2 linked regions of the Lepisosteus oculatus genome follow. The protein of the gene in region 2 interacts with the protein of the main gene of each other region in a biochemical or structural test. Links are inferred from orthologs where the notes say so. Each region holds a gene or a part of one and is shown on either strand. Other genes may lie near its edges.

Region 1 (8,069 bases), on a different chromosome or scaffold from region 2:
TATTTCCCGATAACTACGTTTCCTAATGCCCTGATACAGCATCCCAAACAAAGTAGGCCAGAGGGTGCACGTTTTCTCTCCAATGTCTAAAAGTGGAACACATAAAAACTGGTTATGTATTATTATAATTAATTATCATCACAAAAGTTATGAATTGACTGGAATCAAACGATTTTGCATTCTAGTGCCTTGCTGACAAAGCAAATAAAGTCGTGTACTGAGAACTTGTTCTTCTAGGTACTGCCTGTAAGAGACTTCTGAGAAGTCTTGTCAATAGCCATGTCTGCTGGGGTGGTCAATGAGCATCTGTACGGCTCAATACAGCAGAGAGCCACTCTGTGAAATAACAGGAAATACAGATCAAATAAACCAGTTCTTTGACCTCCTCTGTCCTCTCTCCTTTGTCCCTTCCCCACACTAACACTCTTACATAGTGTGGTGGAAACTTTAAAAGTCATGGGATAAGAGATCCATTTCAGATGGAGTATCTGAAAGCAGCTCTTCTATTTCTTTAATGCGTAAACACATCCACACAGACTCTGGCACGAAGAAAATATAGTTAACATAGTTAGAAAAGGCCATTTGTACAGCAATCAGGGACAGACTGGGCTTCCCTGGGCAAAGCGCTGCCCTCAGCAGCGCTGTTTGAACGTCCTGCAGCACACTGCTCTCCCCCGGTGCTCTTTCCTGCTTCATGAGATGCCCTGTATCACATGTCACAGCGATTCCTATACATGTCTGAGCCAAAGGTGTGCCCCTCCCCCACTCCGTTTCCAACAGCTGTCACAAACAGCCCAGCCCCCTTGTTAACTACAGGACTGGGACAAAGCCTCCCAGGGGTAGGTATTATTCATTTACTTGGAAGACAGTTTTAGCTACAAAATCTTAAATTTGGACCTAATTATCCAGTGCAGCATTTTACTGAAAATCTGAGCAAAGTGCCTGGCTCATGGGTAATAGAACAGCACCCCATTAAAGTTCCGAATCCCCAGACATCACCTCCACACCAGAAAATGATTCTGCTGTGATTCCGATCTGTGATTGACATTTGCTATGGTATTTCTTCCTTCCACTCCAAACGTGGCAAGTTGAGCCATAATCCGTTTTTCAGTTTTTATTTTTCTTCTTCATACTGCAGGACAACCAGGCATGAAAACCAAGAAGGCCTCTTTAAAAAGGTGATGTCTGAAAATGTATTGTGGGTTAAATTTACTATCATGGGAAAATATCACTGAATAATTTATGCAAAAACTGATAACTCTTTTATAAGAAAGTTCATTGTTCACAGCATTATCCCTTCATTGTTAGAGTCACTTACGAACATGAAAGACTGTGGTTTTTATAACTCCATCTATATCATGATCTGTGAAATACTGACAAATTCACTGTACTGGTTCTCAAACCAGAGAATTTCCCTAGAGCTAGTGAGGACTCTGCAACCCCTCCCCATTAACCCTGTCCCAGAATTTCACTTTAGGCCAGAAATGTCCAATACAGAGAAGACAATCTGAAGAGCCAAGATAGAATAAAGTTAAAAAAAAGATAAATGTAGCAGCACATATGTAGAACTGCACAATAGTAAGATTTATCTTAATTACAGATGATAAAAATCTGATTACTCAACATATGTGTTTAGTATAGATTTAAATCTAGAAGAAACAACCTGAAGTATAATCCTTTGAGTTATAACATTTTTATTATGGTCACTTGAACAGTCAATTAAAAAGGCACTGGTGTACCTCTAAAAAGGCTCCCAGAGAAACCCGTACACAGCGGTTCTGCAGTCCCTCTATGCAGACAAGAGCAATCCTGCACTGAGCCCCTATCTTGCAGAATTCCTGAAATCCACAGTATACCAGAGCCTGCATTGCAGCAGTTAGGAGAACTCATACATCTGTATGTAGTGGCACACTGCTGTAGGTAGCAAGATAGCCACAATTCTGCTAGTTTTGCAGGTTATCTATAAACCACGGACTGCTTAGAAAATACTAACCCTTTCATTCCATAAAACTAACACCACATTCTGGAGCAGTGCCAGCAATCTGGGGAAAAAACACCTTGAAGGAAGCAGTGACTAGGCCTCTTGAATAAGAGCCTACAATTTAACTCTCATACACCTCCAGGTTAAATAAAACATGTATTATTACTTATTAGAATTCACTAGCTTATAAAATATAACAAGGACTTTAAATCCGCGTGATAATGCGTTTTGACTCGCTAAGGAAAAAAGAGCATTCACGATTCTAACTAAATCCATAGACACCTCATTATTTGAAATTACACTTCATTTGTTAATATTCATTTCACATCAAACTTCAGGAATTGCTTGTACCGGGATGTCAGTGCAAACAATCCACAATACGGTATCATCCAGTCCATTGCGGAAGGAATCACAACAAATACTTAATCAGCTTCCCAGTTCCTAAGAATATATCAACGTTTTCAAAAGGACAGTGACACCCATGTCCTTCGGGTCACACTACAATACAGCTGTCAAGACAGAAATTGTAAAAAACAGAAGATGCCGGTCATATCACTACATTCCAAACAGCTCACTTCCAGTAAATACCGATACAACAAACGAGAACATCCAGAGAATGCCTTTACACCAACAACAAAAAAAAAACTATTGATTCAAACATTTTAAACGGAATCCACCAGAGGGACATTTAGCGAACCTCATCGCGGAACACATTCACAATTCTTCTGTTCGGTTCAAACTGGCTTTCGCGAAAGCGTTTTAACGCCTTCCTTGTTTTTTTTTTTCTGTTTACCTGCTGTCTCTGAAGAAAGCGTTCCGGATTACACCATTACTAAACACCGACCACAAGCACAGGTCTGTCCGCTGCTCAAGCCGCAGATCACTATGTCGGTTAGAAACAACTCCCGAAAAAAAAAAAAGGTGATTAGGATATGGATTTTCTGGAAATTTCACAGCTTTAAACTCTAGAAAACACCACTACCAGAGACGGAAGTGCCGTTTCTGATCCCTCTGGTAAAATCGTCCGACCACCACACGCGACACTTAAACAATAGTTCCGCTGTTTCTATTACGTGTATTTATCCGGTATCATCAGAAACCGTTTAATCATCCTCAGAACAAAGGTCTCCCGTTCCAGTGCTGGAGGCCCGGTTTGTCCAGAGGTTTTATTGTCTAATTAAAATCAACATCATTAAATAGCTTAAAGATCTGTTAAAATGATCAAATTAAGACAATGATAGACTCAGGTCATTATCACACAGAGAGAGAGAGAGGACACACACATACAGAGGACAATCACAGAGACACCAGTTAACCTGGACAGCGTGTGTTTGGACTATAGGAGAAAACCCATCCAAACAACATGCAGACACCACACATAAAACACACTTGAAACCAAACCCAGGGTCCACCACAATATGCTCATAGATTTGCCTGGCTGCCTGTCACATGGTGTATGTGGCTGCAGCAGCTGAGTCCAGGACCCCCACCCCAGAGACTGGCAGAGAAGAATATAGTCCTATGGCCTTAGATGGAGAAAGTGCCTGGACTTCATTGAGCTACAGTGTTAGACAGTGATTCAGCCAGTGCTTATGCATGAGTCTTCAAAAGGAAGTACTACAGTATGTACATTTCTATAGAATCTTTATCAACAATTTGCATGACTGATTCCCATATTTATGTCATCCTTAAATGAACAGAATGATAGAGAAGAACTAGGGTTTCAGCATTTGAGCATTTCAGCATGGGCTTCCTTGCTAGGCTCCCTTCTGTGAATGAGGGGTGGGTAAGGACAGCTGTCTGTTTCCATGAAGCAGAACCAGTAGGAGCATTGTGGTTACAGACACTGCTGGACAAGAAACATGTCTGCACCTCCAGATGGGCCCCAGCCCCATTCCAGTATGAGGTCACTGACAGTCCCACAGCTCTGTCTGGGTGCTGTATGTTTATACACCTGGGCACACTTTCATGGATCACTCATTCCTTTATATTCCCAGGTAGGACAGTGTCAGAACAAATTCTCATTGACCCATTCATACAGCGGGGCATTTATTCATGTTATCTGGGGGAACGCATTGTACTGTGCTTAAGGGCAGACGAGAATCTATGCTGACAGGTTGTGGGTTTGAGTCCCTGCTACAGACACTGCTGTGGTACCCTTGACTGAGGCACTGTACCCCAGTTGTTACGGTGCAGAAGAAGCAGAATCCTCTGAACTCAAAAGTACCAGCAGGAGTTTCTCCAAAATCATGGGTCAGGAGGTCAGGCCAGGGTCAAAAAACCAGTAAATCCACAATAACCAAGTCAAGATCCAGAAGACGAAGTCAGAGACAAAGCCAGGGGTCAGTGCCAAAAACCTAGAAATCTTGCAAAACAGAGAACAAGATACAATGCAGCTCTAGCTAGGTAAAACCCAATACTGAGCAAGGAGTAGTGTGTCAGGTTGGTTTAAATAGGCAGATGGAAGAAGGTGTGTCTGATTAGTTCATTGGAAACTGCACTGGAGTTTGAAGGAGTTGATTAAGGGTGGTGAGTTCTCCAGGGGCATGATGTAACACCAGTTACTCCGGTCCTCCCTGACAGAAGTTCTCTCTCATCCTTGGAACGCTACAGAAACCAGGATGACCTCTGGCCCCGTGAGCTGTGTGGCTCTGGTCTGGATTCTACCTGTTTACCTTGCTCAAGAGTACAACTAGAGTATAACCACCTGGGATTTGAACCCACAGTCTTTCAGTTGGGTGTGTGGAGCTCACCACTACCGTTTCCATTTTGTGTGAAAGGGTTCGTGGTGTAGTATAGTATCAAGATTGATGTGGCTGACAGAAAATTGTTATAAATTAGTCCAGACTTTTCCAGTGTCTCTTTGCAGTGAAACAGTGGAAATCCTGTCTTGTTTGGCTGCCGTGATTTAATGTGGTTTGTGTTCACCTTAGAAAGGGCACAATTCCAAAATCATTAAATGAGTTCATGCAATTCACAATTGAGAAGCGGAATGTGGCATCACATTAAAACTGATCTAGGGCTCATTTCTGCCTACAGCACTGCTGTGTCACAGTCTCCGAGAATATCAGGGCATCTTTCATTTTTTTTCCAGGCCTAGAGATGCCACAGAGGAAATTACATCTCTGGATTCTGCTCCTGGTTCAGCAGGAGTGTCAGAAAAGCTACACACTAGATAATGATCTTTTGTAATGAGACTAGAAAGAACAGCAAGAAGCTAAAATGAGTAAATAATTAAAGCATGCTCATTTTCCTTTCAATGTGATATTAAGAATTTCATAGACACTGAAGCCTAATATCATATAAAAGGTTCTGGTTTGCCACAAGGAGCTTGTTTTTATTAAACTATTCAGATGCAAAAATATCTTTTTTAAGTGACGACAAAAATAAAATGTAAAAATCTTAAGTACAATTTGCATAAGCATGTGAGGAGTACCTGAAGAGGAGCTTTTCAAAACACAATACATTCAACAACTAGTTGTGAGCTCATAATGCTACCAGAAAGAGGTTGTTAGCATTCTTCCTAAAATAAAAGAACATGTTACTCCTGCCCTGGCTGCTTTTTCGTTTGTATTCTACGTTATTCTCAAGCAGCTGAAAGGCTCTTAATACATGCACAATACAATAAAAGATTTCCATGACATGAGGTGGAGCTGTGGTTAGCAGTGGTTAGCATTGGCCCTTGTACTGCTGGGGCCCTGGACTCAGTTCCAAACCTGGAGCGATGTCTGCGTGCAGTTTGTGTATTCTCCTTGTACTTGTGTGGGTTCCTCCCACAGTGCAAAGACCTACTGGTAGGTTATTTGCCTGGGAAAATTGGCCCTGGTGTGAGTGTGTGTGTATCTGTGTTTGTGTCTCCCATGCAGGGTATATCCTGCCATGTTCTAGCTGCTTGCCAGGATACCAGGATAGACTCAGGCTCCACCTTGGCATCTGAACTAAAAGAAGTGGTTAGAATATAGATGCATGATGCTAAAATCTGATCACTACTTACTACATGTGGCACAAAAGAGGACATCTCTTTGAAAGAAGAAAATTTAAAACATCTATTTAGATGGACATTCTTTAGATCCTTAATGAACTAGTGATAATGTGATTAAAAATATTTTGCATGCATCAGAGCAGCTCGTGAATTAGAGTAGTTCGTGAATTATTCATACAGTCCCAGCACAATTTGCAAAATGCAATATTACATTACAAAGAGCAAATTTTAATCAGCAGAGACTTTGACCACAATATTAATGGCATAATTAGGTTTGTTATCAAAAATTATTTTTTGACTTCATGATATCCCAACCATAATTAAAATAACTGTCTTCTATAGGAACGATCAAAAACAAAGTGTTTAATCAGACAATGCAGGACAGAACTTCTATGGATGAAAATGATTTAATTTACCTCTGAATCTGAAACTCATTAACTCATCCTCCTTTTGAATTCTAGATGTGTCATCTGGAGAAAAACAAAGAGATGTGCTCTTTAAGCCCGTGCAGTTCTGTGCTCTCGAGACACCTGTGCTGTTTGTGTGTTCAAGTTGAATAGATTTCAGCTTTCTCCAGCTAGCAGAGACAGATGCCTGTTGTCATCATTTCAAGAACAAGGACCAAGATAAGACAAAATTGTATTTCTTTACTTCATATGCATTATTTGGGAAAGTAGGTAGGTGCTGTAAGGTCATTTCCATATCCAAGTCATATAAGCTCATCGGGCCAGAGCTCATGAACCAGTGTGGCCGATATTAAGTGGTGTTAGGTGGCCTAGAGAGCATGTGACTCCCCCACCCACACCTCTCCTGGACATCAGTCCATTGCAGAGCCTACCTCCAGCAATACTTACACAGCTGGGTGAACTGGGGTTATGTACCTCTCTCAAAGTGCAACAGCAGTGTCTTCAGGGGGGACTCAAACCCACATCAGGTGTGAGACCAGAGACCATGCTACACCACCCCCATTTGTGTATATAATAAAGATATTACAATAAACATAACATTGTGTCTGTTTCTGCATGAGTAAATACTCATAGAGGTACAAACCATGGAGCGATGGGATGTCTATACTCCTGGACACAGGGTCCCATGGATGCAGAAGTGCAGTGATCTCGCACATTTGGAAGTGGAGTGAAGTCATCTGGCAGATGTGAAAGGGGATTGAAGGGCAGTCTATGCTCTTGGATGCACAGGTAAAAAAAAGTAACTCATTTATTCAGTGTGCTCTCAGCTGCCCACAGAGCAGAAGATTAAAGCTGAAAGACTTTAGAAGCCTTGCACGCCAATCCGTTTCAGTGTGAAGAAGGCATAAGTGCATTCAAGTCAAATGTCTCTCTCTCAAACACACACTGCATGAAGCAAAAAGCACTGAGACTAATCTGTTGTAACAAAAAGGATACAAAACAGCAGAGCCGGGTGCCTTCAAATGTGAAGGGGGCCAAAGTTTTTGTGGAGTTCTGCTACACTGTCTGTACACATTACCCATCCTGAGTCCTAATTGGATTAACTGAAGTGAGAATATAATGGCTGTCTGTACTGACAGCAGCTCAAAACAAAACCTTCAAAGACCTTAAAACTTTCTTTCCCTCTGGTATAATTTACTCAGCACAGCCTTCCAGCTTAGATGGTCCATGTCTTTCATTGAATTGTGGGAAGCCTCCATAAGTATGGTAAGGATGGAAAATTCCAGCTGAAAAAATTAAAGCAATTCATGTGCAGGAAAAGCAATTTTTACAAAATAATAAAAGCATGCTAGTGGCCAGTTCAGGCCATTTTCATTTTTCTGATCACTCAAATTGGCTATCTTGGCGGTCACTCTATGCTATCCTCTATGGTGGGCTGCAGAGGAGACTGAGGTGACTGAAAGAGTAGTTTGACGCAGAACCAGGAAGAGATGTGTCACTTGCTGAAGTTTGCTAGACGGAATGTATTAAAATGTATTCCAAGCTGGGCCTCTGAAAAGGGAATGAATATCAGCTAAGCACAAGAACATGTTCTGCTCAATGGACCCTACCTGGCTGAGGGAACTGCCTACTGGCTTTACTGCAGTGAAATGAACCAGTTCCCCATGGCAGTGCCATGCACACACAGAGCCAAGGACAT
Region 2 (6,880 bases):
GTGGTATCCTACAGTGCTGCCATTCAAATAAAACAAGGGAGTAGTGAATCATCTGACCATGCAGCAGACTGAGATGATGTCCAGGGTAGAAGGTAAAAAAAAATAATCAGTAAATACACTTGCAATCAAACACTCAAGAATAACAGAGCAGTTAAAATTGTTAGGGAGAGACCCTTTCTCCCTTCTGGCTTATCCTTCTTATAATGAAAGATTCAAATAAACACTGAATAAACCAAAAAAAAAAAACACACAACAACCATTAAGTTTAGAAATATGCATTCCTGGACAAAACTGCTATCATGTCAAGAGGACTGGCACTTCTACCGTCATTTTTTAAAAAGGAAAGTACAATTTAACACCAGCTTCTGCTTTGATTGACCTACAGTATATACCGTCAAATCATTCCCAGGCCTGTCTTTTAAAATCCTGTTCCCAACCTCAGCAAAGCATTCCCAGATATCAGGCCCTTTAAATCCCTAAAATCCTCCCCCATTGGGTTTTCCCATCCTTCGGTTTCACACAAACAGATGATACCTATTTTCTTTTGATTGTTTTATTACATCACCAAGTAAAACAGGCTCCTGTACAGTCACGAAACATGCGAAGAGAACTGCTGGAAGGCCTTTTCCTGGAGGGTCGTCTATTCATACTTGCTCCCAGGAGGTCTGCAGGAGCTGTCCGCTTCCCGGCAAATGAACGGATTAGTCCCAGGCCGACGGATGGTAGCCGCCCCACACGGCGAGAGGTAAAGGCAAGCCCATCTTGGCAAGTCCAAATTCAGGCCTGTACGAGGAGGGTGAGCCTGCACCTGATGCACAGGACGCGTTCACTTGCCAATTCTCTGAACCACCCAGTCCTGCTGGCAGAGTGGGCACCGGTTGTTCTGTTTCACCCACAGGGACATGCAGCAGTTGTGGAAGGAGTGGTTGCACTCTCCCCAGACCACTGAAAAGGAAAAGGATGAGACAGGCTGGCTTTAAAAATCCACCAAGCAACAGATCACATTCTCTGAGAGCTCATGAACTGGACAGGGTTCAAGAGGTCCGAGTAAACTGCAGCTGCCCTTTACATGCATAGGAATGCTGTGCAGTGAGGTCATTAAAAGGGGTCTGGATTACCATAAGAACGTCAAGGCACCTATTGATAATTTATCAGATCGTTATTCTGAAGTCGAGAGATGACTGTTATCTCTCGACTTCTTCAAGCAAGATAATTCTGGACACAAAAAATGCGGTAGTATCAGGAATATGAAGCAGACAAACTACTCCCATGATTTTAGTATGTAAAATAACTTTGCACTTATCACGATTAAAGTAAAACGCCAGCACCGTTTTCTTGATACTGCGTTATTTGGTTATTCAAGTAATGTTCTGCAGATTTAAATTATTGTTAACCATATGTTCTTAAAGCAAAGGTGGGCCGTAACCAGTAGCACTGAACGGCTAAGGCAATTAATTCTTAGTCCAGCTTTCATGCTTCACCAGATAACACTATCAAATCACAGGGGACTCACCGACACAATCTTCTTGTTTATTTTCCGCCTGGCATCGAAGGCAAGCATCTAAACAAGCAGGAAAAACACATGCACTGCCAGATTGAAATTGACGTAAAAATCTGAAATGTACTTCCAATACGTTAACATACCACAGGCAAAAAAAAGCCGCAACTTAACACGTATTTTTACATCATTTTTCGTTACAAAAATCGTAAAATGTTAACTCAGACAGCTAGTTATAATTATATACTTACATACACTATAATAGAGATAACTGTAATGCTGACTATTCACTCGAAACAACGTTTTCTACTTTATTACTTAAACAACAACATTGTCGGATTTTGCTACGAAGCTACAATATTCTCTTGTTGATAAGTGCACAAGGCCTACTGCGACGCGACCTGCATGTTACTGCTTTTATCAACCAAATCTTAAAAAAAAAACTCCCGCATCGCACCACTTCCCCCTCTTACATTAAAAAGAGGTGCATGGCTGCTGCTGCCGACCAACAGGATCCACAACTTCCTTTCTGGTGAAAAGACACGATAAAGCCGTCCTCTTTTTGTTTCACTTACCCATAACCTGAACTCTACAAATGGCACAGGTATCGCACTCTACGTCCCAGCTCCACATTGCCACGGCATTCCACTTCTTTAAGGAAAACATTTTGTCTCCTCCAGATTTAGAGCCAGATCCGCCGCTGTGAGAAGGAATCAAAACCGGCTCGTCTCCGTCATCCATCTCCACCATAGCAATGGTACAAGGGAAAACAAAATGGACGGACCAGTGCGGCTGCACAGCACAATAAGCCAATGTACTACTAAGGGCCAACCGCAAGATGGGGCTAAAGCTCCAACGTAATCTTAAATCGCTACTGGTGTTAATATAATTTAATATTAAATATAATTTTTAACACATTGATACCTGTTTTGGGTAGAATTCAATCATACTGTCCTAATATTAAGCATAATAACATAATATTCATACTGTAGAAAGGCTAGTATGTTTTATGATTTAACAATTGTAATACCACATGCAAACTGTGGTAAACACACACATCACACACATAGTAACGCAGAAAAATTAAGAAAATCCAAAATTTCTAAAAATAAAAACTTCATACATGGTAACAGAAGCACAGGATAAATGAGTCCAGTCAAGGAGAAGCCCAAAGTAGACACTGTACCCTGTAATGTAAAACACTCTGCTCCCCCAGGCTACTCAGGAGTGAGACTGGGCATGAGATAAATACCTGGCTCAAAGAGAAGTAGTCAATCAAAGAGAGCTCACTGGTGTTGCATTTTCAACTCAATACCTCTCAGCACAGCAGATGCTTTAATCCACAATCAGAGCTCTGCGTTTTAGAGTGACCTACCTTTTTTCAAAGAAATGTGATAATGAGTCCCATGTGAAACATTTTTAAAGCGTTAAGAGTATAAAGACAGATACTTTTCATTTTTTAAGCCTGACATTTTTTGCAAGAAAGATTTTATTTTATTTCTTTATTTCATATCGCCGTTTCAGCTGTTTCTGTCCATGCTTTTGTAATTTGAAAATAATTTTCAGTTACCATCATTCAGGTGAATTAAGGACATAATTAAAACAAGTAGGCAACATTAAAGCTTCTTATGAATAATCTTGTTTTTTTTCTGTTGATCAGTTAAAATTGGTTCATTCACTAGTTGATCCCTTGTACACAGAGCTTTAATGACATATAACACTGAAAAAATTAAATATAAGAAAACAAAAATAAGAAAGATAAGGTTTGAAGTTAAAAGTGAAATTTATTTTTTGTACATTTTGTGTTTGCATGAAGCAGTGACCCAACAGAAACTAAAGTATTCTTAGTTCTTTTCTGTTTTTCTTCTACTTTGGAGGGCTAAGTGAATTCTTCTATAGTGACAAACAGCAAACAGTCAACCACAGCCAGTCAGATACAGTTTCATCCTGAGATCCTACTCTCTAACTTTGTTACTTTTGAACACATTCCTTGTATGTAATCTTCTATTTATTGGGTTATTCCTGTAGCACAGCATGGTAACCTTCAAACGGAATAGAAAAAGGAGCTGAGAATGTTAGCATGGGCATAAAATAACGCCAATCAAGAAATAAAACAACACTGTTGTGGTTCCGATATCAGATACTCAGCTGTTTGAGGACCAACAGTGCTCATAGTATAGATAACAGCATGAAGAATGCGTACATTCTTGCAGGACCATGATAAAAAAAGAACAATTCTTTTGTCTCATAGTAACAGCTGGGAAAACTAATAGCAGCTATTGTATGAGAATGCGATCTTTAGCTATAAACAGACAGAAAAAAAAATGAGAGCTCCCAACTTTCAGAGTCCTGTAGCCCCTTCATCACTGGTTTGAATCTGGGCTCTGTCATTAGTCAACAGCAGCCACTGTTTCCTGAGCAGAGCAACACAAAACAATTCAAGAAAAAAGAACACAATGCATCAACAAAAAATATTGTTTATTTCTACCAATTAAGGTACAGTATACCCTTACAAACAGAAATACAAGGCAGTTTGATAGTATTAATAGTATGGGTATACCTGCTTTTCAATATAGCATTTAATAATGTTTTTAACTTCACAAGAATGTAACAGGCTTTAGTAATTCATAGTTAATTGATTCCAGGATCTCATCCAGCCATTTCTTGAAACAAGTCAGTATCTGCTTCAGCAACATGACTGGGTAACTTCTTGAAGACTCCCATCTTTGTATAACAATTCTGTCCCCTTTTCTCTGTTTTAAGTGAACTTCTCTACAGTTTCAGCTGTCCAAGACTAAATATAGCCATTATTTTTAGTTGTTAGAATAGGACATTCCTTTAAACCTAGGAATGTATCTAGTTTGTAATTTTTGGCCTGATTTCAAATCAGCATTATCAAAATACTACACAATATTCTAAATTAGTTCTTACTAGTCCATTGTACAATTTTAACATCCTTTGATTTAAATGCTACACTTTAAATGCCAATGTAGCTCAACATTAATTCTGATTGATTGATTATTGCTTCTCCTCATTGTCTAGAGGATGATAGTAATTTGTCAATAGGTAGCTCCTACATGTTCCCTGTCCTCTGTCTTATTTTTTTAGTTTGAATTTCTGGTATGTGCATTTACCACTCAGCTTTATCACTATTTGTCTCCATTAAATGCCACCTGACAAGTGATTACTGAGTATTCAATTTGTCAAACTATTTTTTGACATCATCTGCACATTGGACTAGTTCACTGACCATTCCAGAATCTAGATCATTCAAATCACTTTTCCTAATAACCCTCTTTGCTTCATTATTCAGATATTGTCAGCTGTCTTTAAACATTTATTGATTATCTCTGCAATAAATGTTTAAAAATAGAAGGAAGATGTTCAATTTCTACTGTAAGATAATTCATTGTGTATGTGGGGCACTACAGAAATGCAAGATTAGTAATTTTACTGATTGAAACTGAAAGAAAATAATAAAATATCTCTGTAGGTTAGTCTCTTAAACAAAGACATCAGTACAAGTGGGTAGGAGGCTGTAGATGCAGTGAGTGTTGAATACAGATCTTTAAAGCACAGACATGAATTTGTGGTTCCAGTTCTTGGGCCCATTTGGTAATGAAGAAGAGACCTGATGCTGTGGAACTTAGAAGCAAACCGAGAACAAAAGGTGGTCATTTGATTGGAATGAATAGAAGACCAGTAGAAAAGTTACAAATCAGAGGAGGCTATTCTGCTCATCTAGCTCAATTGGTAGTTAGTAGTCAATTGATCTGAGTGTTTCACAGTGTTTCTCCAAAGAAGCCAGGGTATTGGGGCTTGTTCCATACTCTCATTCCATTTGGGTGAAGAAATGCTTCCTGTTGCCAGTTTTAATTGCTCTTCCATGTAGTTTGCACTTGTGCCTTCTAATTCTTATTTCAGTATAAATTCTGAAGAATTCAGCAGGATTGCCTTAGATGATTGTGAATAATTTTATAATTTACTCTCAAAACCATCCATGTTGAAGACTAAAAAGATTCAGTGCCTTCAGCCTGTCAGTTTAGGGCATTCCCTTAAGCTCCAGAACCACAAAGAACAAACAGCAAAAATGTAGCTTCAGCAGGCTACTCTTGTAAAGCTGGTAACTTTAGCTGAAGTACCTCAAACATTACTCCTTAGAAGTGTTATCTTTCATATCATGAAACAATGTAGTAAATATGAAAGCTGGCCTAATTCACAGTTTTAACACAGCGTGAATGTGGGTTTAAGTGAAAAAAGAAAGCTGCCTCAAAATAAATGTATCCCCTGCTGGCCTTTCAACATCAATGTTGTGAGTTGTACTTCCATAAAATTGTTTTAAAAAATATTAAAACTCATAACATTGTAATCTATTTAATTCTATAAAACATCATTTATGAAAAGCCACAGGGGGAATGTTATTTGACTATCTGAAAGAAAATGTGCACATTTTTGTTTCATTGCTCAGCATTTGAGCCATATGTGGAGAAGGGAAGTGATACTAGCTGAGTTCCAGCAGGTCTGAAATTCAATTAGCAGTCTGACTCAAAAGCTTAAATAATCAATGACAGTGCAAAAGCAAGTGATGTAGTAAGTCACGTTACCCAGGGCCGGATTTTGGTGTTTGTAGGCCCTATGTACTTCCACTCCAAAATGTACAAAAAGAGGGGTAAACACCAATGGAATTACATTGATTGACATGATGCACTTTAAACTATTCTAATGCTAAACCATGTGATTGATGGAGCAAGTCGAGCAACCATCACTTCGATAGTTTCTATCTAGTTTCTAGAACAGCCGCTAGATAGCTAGGAGCACCTACAGTTGATCGCAAGCATGTTGTGCCTACAGTGTCTAATGGGAAATCTGGCACTGACTTTACCCCATGATGGCAAATATTGATCCACTGCCTTGCTTTGCTCTCCTCTGTTTTTGAAAAGTGAAGCATGATATGTGAATTAAAGAAAGATTGCCACTCCTCATATGAACATCTTGCACATTTGTCTATTTATCAGTCCTGATATAGAAGCACAGATAGATCTGATTGATAAAAACAGGAGCAATAGTACTGTAGTGAACCAGCTTGTTCAAAATGAAGGTGGACAGTGGAAAAGCATTCACTATAGGCAATCAGAGACTGACATGCTAGTGGAGTGTTTCAATTATTTAATTTTCTATCCATCTGTATTTGTTGCAATTGTATTTCTTCAATTACCTTTACTTCCCCATGAGGGATCAAGCATTGTACTGTAAGTGAATTGTACTTTATTAGGACTTCCTTGAAATGTCTATTTCTTCAATGAGTTGATCAATTATGTTATTTCCACAAAACTCATTAACAATATCAAATGTCTACTATCATAGCTATACAGTATATAAAGT

Evidence for each region.
Region 1: the proteins of rnf7 (region 2) and ube2f form a complex in vitro, tested with the Homo sapiens proteins (10 studies listed by BioGRID, with this or other methods). The link is inferred for Lepisosteus oculatus from reciprocal best matches to the Homo sapiens genes RNF7 and UBE2F.

The regions. Positions count from the first base shown.
Region 1 is NC_090707.1:7,789,594-7,797,662, reverse strand, and holds the start of ube2f (NEDD8-conjugating enzyme UBE2F), read right to left. Parts: upstream 3,013-8,069; 5' UTR 2,775-3,012; intron 1-2,774. UniProt on the Homo sapiens protein: Accepts the ubiquitin-like protein NEDD8 from the UBA3-NAE1 E1 complex and catalyzes its covalent attachment to other proteins. Together with the E3 ubiquitin ligase RNF7/RBX2, specifically neddylates cullin-5 (CUL5).
Region 2 is NC_090708.1:15,894,693-15,901,572, forward strand, and holds rnf7 (RING-box protein 2), read right to left. Parts: upstream 2,286-6,880; 5' UTR 2,249-2,285; coding exon 2,074-2,248; intron 1,562-2,073; coding exon 1,514-1,561; intron 946-1,513; coding exon 827-945; 3' UTR 538-826; downstream 1-537. UniProt on the Homo sapiens protein: Catalytic component of multiple cullin-5-RING E3 ubiquitin-protein ligase complexes (ECS complexes), which mediate the ubiquitination and subsequent proteasomal degradation of target proteins.